Saccharomyces cerevisiae S288C: one gene and its partner. The protein of the gene in region 2 interacts with the protein of the main gene of each other region in a pairwise test. Each region holds a gene or a part of one and is shown on either strand. Other genes may lie near its edges.

Region 1 (3,226 bases), on a different chromosome or scaffold from region 2:
AGACCATAAACAGTTGGAGAAAAATATCACAAATTTATCAGCCCAATTTATGGCAGCTTAAAAATGTCTAGGTCGATGCTTTCAACGATATCTTTATCAGGTGATTCTTACGCGCCAGGTGGATAGAGGAAATTTGCGACAGTAGGTTTACTGTCCTGGTTTCCTTGTACACTTGTGATACTCATTTTTTGTCTGCCAATAATATAGTCCTGTTTATTTGTTATATGATGATAACCTTCTCAGCTCACTCAGATCTTTTGATATGATTGATAAAAATTTCCTATCCAACATTCATCAATTTATCTGACCAAACAATAAACTTAGTACTATATAGTCTCGCAGGCAATTCTCTTGAATAATTTCAACTTTTATATCTTACATGAAACTTAAACACGATACATGTATCCAGTTTTCATCTCGATCTGGTTCGCTGTGAAATTTTACTATAACACTGTTTTTGAAGTAGGATTTTTGCCAATAAGACATTTCATAGTTCGTGTACAGGCCGTGATATTCATCTAATTTGTTCAACCACTTGAAGCCCCATAACTTTGTTTTATGGTTAACTATTCTGGAGGAGTCATCGAAAATTTCCTCTTCTATAGCATCCTGAACTTTTAAGCGGTTATATTCATATACTTCACTGAATCCCTTTTTTTCTAGTATATTGATCAAATCAGATAATAGCTCGATTCCGTGAATAACATATTTCAATGATTTGTTCTTTTTTGAAATGGCAATTTTTCGCAGCTTGTTTAACCTGCCCAAGGATTCCAGTACTGTTTCATTCTCATCAACAAGAAAAAATTTCAAAAGATTTAATGCTTCGTGGACCATATAATGTCTCGAATTCTGCGTTTTGACACTTTGTTCCTTTTCTAAGCGATTTACCTCCTCTGTATTTATGACATCATTCATCCATTCCTCATTATCTTGTTGATCATTTTCTGTGGCGTTTTCTGTCTTAATATAATTCCCATCTTTATCGAATACCCCATGTTTTATTTCGTCATCTATATTAAATGGCTCTATATTCACACCTTTTTCTACCTTGCTCTCTGAATTACCGATCTGATAATCTAAGTCGGCTAAGTTTTCTTTCTTGAACTCTGCAATATCCAAAAGCTGAATTTTCGATTTCTTTCGCTTTCTATGGTCTTCGACGTGATCTTCATTTTTTTCATAGGATTTTTCATCCATTTCTTTCCCACTATTTTCATTATCTGTAGAATCTTCAACGCTAGAATCAGAATCAGAATCATATTCTGCCCTGCTTAGCTCTTCATCTTCATATATCGTACTTTGATTATGTAACTCATCGCTAAGCTTTTCGTCGTGTTCACGTCGATCACTATTTCTTTTCAGTTTTGAGCTGTTCGGGTATTGCGTATATTTCATATCCTTCTACAAACAATATGGTGCACTTGAGTGTTTTTATCAAAGTTTTCCCTTGTTCTTTAAAAGGCAGCTTAGCATGGTCATTCCAATTTGTTCGGATGCGCTTCTTTTAATCTAGTCAGAGAAACTTACCCATTAAGTAATTAAAATCGATTATTAGGGCATAAATGGAAGAAAAGGAGACTATGTTGGTAGAATGTAAAGGAAGGGACCCTCATTCACAAACAAGGCAGGGACTTTTATGTTACTACTGAATGTTCATGGTGATGAGTGATAATGTCCTTTAGCTAATAGAGTAAGCCACACTTATTCAAAGGTCAATTTGGAGTAGGCTTACAAATGTAGTCTTTTCTTTCATAAACCAGTAGTGTTAAACTTTATGTTTCTTCAACTTTGACGCACAATATTTGGCGGCTATTTTCCGCTATACCAAATAAAATATATCTTTTGTATAAGAAAACAAACTGCTGAAGAAAAGAACATACAGCAACTTGGACAACATGTCCATCGAGGAGGAAGATACAAATAAGATCACATGTACGCAAGACTTTCTTCACCAATACTTTGTAACTGAAAGGGTTAGCATTCAATTTGGGTTAAATAACAAGACCGTAAAAAGGATAAATAAAGATGAATTTGATAAGGCAGTAAATTGTATCATGTCATGGACAAACTATCCTAAGCCTGGGTTAAAACGAACAGCTTCAACGTACCTCTTAAGCAATTCCTTTAAGAAATCTGCAACAGTATCTCTTCCGTTTATCTTAGGCGACCCAGTATGCATGCCGAAGAGGGTGGAAAGCAATAATAATGATACCTGTCTTCTGTATAGTGACACATTATATGACGATCCTTTAATACAGAGGAATGATCAAGCAGGAGATGAAATAGAGGATGAATTTAGCTTTACATTGCTACGAAGTGAAGTAAATGAAATCAGACCCATATCTTCGTCCAGCACCGCCCAAATACTGCAATCGGACTATTCTGCGCTGATGTATGAGAGACAGGCTTCAAATGGGAGCATATTTCAGTTTAGTAGTCCCTGAGATTTAGTTTGATATCGTTAGCATAAGCTATTTGTCACGTTACTATTTCTCTCCTTCATTTATTCTTCCATGATATATAAATTTTTGTCAAGAGTACAGTTATTATTATATTATATCATTATTATAATTGTTATGATTACTATTAATATTATTAATGTTTATTATCAATGTTTATTATTATTATTGTTATTACACATGAAAAGTGAAATTTCATTACGCATATTGTCTTTTATAGTAGATCGCTGTCAGCATCTTCATTAACTTGTTTGGTGTTATTTTCCAAATTCAATAATCTCTTTTTCAACTCTAACACTTCACTTTTCAAGTCATCTCTTTCTTGATTAGTGATGAAGAGTTCCGCTTTCAGATCATTTATTTTGATGTTGAATTGATTTTCTCTTATGCTGTTGCTATTTTTTACATTATTGGAACTCTCCTCGGTGCTTCTGAGACCATTTTCGAAATTTTCACTGCAGACGCCATTTTTGAACTTCAATTCATCTAACTCGTCGATTAACTTTTTATTCAAACTCTTGTACTTCTCTAGCTCTCTTTGTGAAACCATTAGTGCCTTACTTGCACTGTCCATAGAACTGATACTTTCTTTGTAATCATTCTGTATTTTTTTGATTTCATTCTCTTTTACTAATACATCTTGACTTAATGAGCTGTGTTCCATCTTTAAAGCATGGTATTCAGAAGATAGTTTTTCTTTAGATATTGTTAGCTCTTGACTTCTCTCCAGCAAATCGTCCAATCTATTCGTTAGTTTGTTAATC
Region 2 (3,925 bases):
TCTGGATAGAATTGAAGACTGATACAATGGAAATGAAAAGTAACCATTTTGGTAAGTAACCTTTTGGCATTGCTGCCAAGGTGGTCTTGGTTGTAGTTATTACGTCTTGTAGGCTGAACATTATCTGATACTTTAGTGTATTTGAATCCTTCGATACTATGGTCTAGCTAGTGTCAAGAATATAAAAACCTGAAATTAGTCAATGCGTTTACGTCAAAAATAGTAGCAATAGTAAAGCAAAACAACAGGCTTGTTCAGCTTAGTTTTATATACGGGGGTAGAGAATACAATGGATCGTACCTTTTTTTTTGTTTCCTGTTCGTTCCGTCCCCGAACGAAAAAATCATAAAATAGAAGTTTCCTATCGGTAATACCGTAAAGTTTAATTCAGTTCGTATAAGATTAGGTTAATCATGGGCAAGTCCGGAAGAAGCGTTTTAATGTAGGTCTGTTGGGGAAGATGTTGTGTTCACTGTAATTTTCAACTGAAGTTGTTGTCCCCGAAATGAAAGAGCTTTCGATATTTTTGTGTTTTATAATGCGCCTCCTACTGCAAAAGAAAAATTAAATGTTTTCTGTCTCATTGAACCATCTTGACAATCGAAAGCGCGCTATCAAATTTCTTTCGGCAGTAATTAATAAGGCCGCCTGTATATATTTCCTTTTCTTCTGAAGCGATATTTCATGAGCCGGAAATTTTTCCAGGAAAGGTTTTAAGTGCTGCCATTCAATGCTTTCAAATGTCTCGAGCAATGATAGAATAACTATCTTGAGTATTTTCAATAGACCCCCTAACTCTTTTTCTGGGACACCGCTTATTACACTGTAAAAGTTCTTTAAGTAGGTTTTCTTCAAACTCAATTCTCTTTCGAGGTATACTCGACAGTACGCCTTTTTCCGGTTGATGCATATTAGTTTATGCTTCGATACAAATCTAATAAGTACATGTATCAGACTTTCGATGATGATAAGTATGTGTTCAATTAATTTCAGAACAGATACGTATTTTAATATCTGCGGTTCAAATGTTTGGTTTGTCTTGATTTTGATGAGTTGAATGTTAATAATAGAGTAAATAAGGGTAAAATGCAACGAACACAAGCGCTTGTAGTCAACTTTATCACATAAATGTTTGCCATCTCCCTGGTCGTAAAAGTTTTGAAGCCATTTTGGATCGTTTTGGTTCTTCTTCAATAAAATTCTATTAAACAGAAACTTGGCGATGAAATTGAAAACATGAACGTCTATCAGTGTCCTCTTAAAAGAAGAATCAGAATCTATGCGATGCGAATAATGAGAAACTAACAAGATTTGGAGTGTTTGAAACACTTGCGATAACCCTCTAAAGTCAATTTCTTTTGTTTTTAAGCTCAGGATTTTTAGCAGAATTTTATATCTCGGTAAAAACCAGTTGTTTATATCAGCAGTTGATACATCTTTGCTAAATGATTGCAGCTCCTTTAAACCAACTGCATCTTCGAAGCTTTTGTACTTATTCTGGCAAAGGAAATTGTATATAGGTTCCAGATGAGCAAACAGTGATTTATTATTCAAAAATCCATTTTCGAAAGGCGCAACCCATTTGTATATATGTTTTGAGTTTTCCCGAGGATTTATTTTTAAATTTTTTTCACTCTTGAGAGCACCTACATCTTCGACATCTCCTTTCTTTCTTGAAAGTGCCCTCTTCCACAACGTAGGATTCCTGGATTGAATTAAAGCAAAACACTGTCATAGATAATATTCGAGGAGATTACACCTCTTACTAAAAGTTAGTAAAGAGAAAATAGGTTAAGGATGTGACAATTTCACGTACGATTATCCAGTCAACTTCCGATGTTTCCTTTTGTTCCATATCTTCCAGTTTGCCTCTACTCATGTCCTTACTCTTCTAAAAGATTATTTAATGAAACTGTTTCACAACTACAAGATGTTTGTTATGTTTTCTTTTACAAGTCGGAAACATTTAGCCGCCCAGCAATATATATGACTCCGAAAGAAAATGAAAGGAAATACATACATAGTAAAATAAATCGTTTAAACATAAATAATCGTACAGAGGAAAACATTAAGGAAGGAGAGTCAAACTAATGTACTGGGAATTTGGATCTCCCATAAGAAGTATGCGCAATACTTTTATTCATCATATAGACTGGAGCTGCGTATCATTTCTTCAATCATTTTCAGAAACCCGTTAACATCACTATCCTTGTTTTGAAGGCTTTGATAACTATTATTACCACCATTAATTGTGCATTCTTGCATGTGCAACCTCGAAATTTTCTTCATTTTTTGAACCAATTTTTCGTAATTTTCAATTTTTTTCTTCATCATTGTGTTTTCTTTGCTTATTTGGTCAAATTCCCTTTGAAGTTGTAATTGTGACATTTTCTTTCTCTGTCGACACTTGGAAGCGGCAATTCTGTTTCGTTCTAGTAGCCTTGCACGCTTCCAAGCTTTAGCACCGTCTTTCAAGCCTGCAGTATTGTTCTCTATTTTTTGGGGTCTAGCTTCCTGCTTTATTTGGAAGGTTGCTGTAGTGTGCATAGAGGAGAAGGGCGCGGTATGTACGTCTTTCTCACTATTAATATTGTTTTTCAGTGCAGAAGTGGCATCCTTGTATTGTGGTTTTGAGTTGGCATGTGTTAAATTGACATCAGGGCATTTCGATTCGTATGGAAGGCTGCTTGAAATATTCAACTCGGCATTTTGGCAGGAATTATTAACAGTGTGGTGATTAACGCCATGGGAAATTGAAGAATGGACGGATTGATTTTCGATATTATGATCATTAATGTTTTGGCAGGAAGAAGAAGAGGAAACGGAAGAATTAGAGGCTGGAGTACATGGATGCACATTCAATTGAGCGTTTTTCCATGCCTTAGTTTGCATTTGAGCTTGTAATCGGAGTTGCATGTTGATGTAAGCCTGATTCATTGTGGAATCGCCAGATGGGATAGAAGGCGTGGCAGAAGGAATGTCACAAGTGGCTGCTACTGCGGGTATGTTAAGCTTTATATTGCTATCATACGGGGTCATTGCAGCGTAGATATTCTTGCTACCTGTTTGAGGTGCAGCTTCGGGTATGACTGTAGCTTGTTCGTGTGGTTGTGGCACGTTTTGCAATTCGTTCGAGCTAAAGCTTGGGTATATGGCTGCGCTTGGATTTGCCACCTGTTGAGGATTGGGATTCTGTTGCGCCTTAGACGATAGGATCGGAGGCTGACAGTTGTAAAGATTTTCAACCGTTTCTAAGTCTTCGCCTAATTGACTAATCTGACCATTGGAGATAGATATGCGTCTTTTGTACACGGGCTGATCAAACGCTGGTAAAGAACTTTGAAAAATGGGAGGGTTGGTAATGGGAAGATGGCTGATGTCGACGCCAAAGGGTTGAAACATTGGACCCAGGTTTTCTTGCACGCTACGGTCATGCAAACTGTTTTGGTGATGAAAATTGTAGGCAGAATCCACAAGACCAGGACCCGATGGTTGTTTGTATATAAGCTCCTTGTTTGAAGATAGAAAATCTGTATATAAGAGTGGGTTCTGCCTTCCATCTAGGAAAGAATCTGGACTTGTAGCAAAATTATGCTTATAGTCCATACTTTATTTGGTTCCTTAGTCGTTACCTGGTGTTATTCCAGTACTATTAATATAACTCAGTACAATTAGCTGCCGTGAAAAAAAAAAAATAATAAGAATACAGTTTCTGCGCTTTTAGTCGGTAAGCACTCAGATTGAGAGATCTAGATTTACTATATTTTAATAATAACCAGTTAAAGCAGATTTTGAAGATGAACTAACATAAAAAAAATTGATGAATTATGTAACATAATCTTCTGTACCACCAGGGTAAATCGCCAAAGAATATCTGCATCTAAGAACAAAAGAAAATGGTGCCCTAAATATCTTTCAGATGAAA

Evidence for each region.
Region 1: the proteins of MEI4 (region 2) and REC104 interact in binary tests that used the Saccharomyces cerevisiae proteins (3 or more experiments, as listed by UniProt).

Annotation. Positions count from the first base shown.
Region 1 is NC_001140.6:411,009-414,234, forward strand, and holds REC104 (Rec104p), read left to right. Parts: upstream 1-1,898; coding exon 1,899-2,447; downstream 2,448-3,226. Other genes in the region: U5 snRNP complex subunit LIN1, read right to left, coding at 376-1,398; KEL1 (Kel1p), read right to left, coding at 2,677-3,226. UniProt on the Saccharomyces cerevisiae protein: Potential transcriptional regulator that is required to activate expression of a number of early meiotic genes including HOP1.
Region 2 is NC_001137.3:237,896-241,820, forward strand, and holds MEI4 (Mei4p), read right to left. Parts: upstream 1,880-3,925; coding exon 1,817-1,879; intron 1,729-1,816; coding exon 565-1,728; downstream 1-564. Other genes in the region: ERG28 (Erg28p), read right to left, coding at 1-121; ACA1 (Aca1p), read right to left, coding at 2,137-3,606. UniProt on the Saccharomyces cerevisiae protein: Required for meiotic induction of recombination, viable spore production and chromosome synapsis. Component of the MER2-MEI4-REC114 complex which seems to be required for meiotic double-strand break (DSB) formation.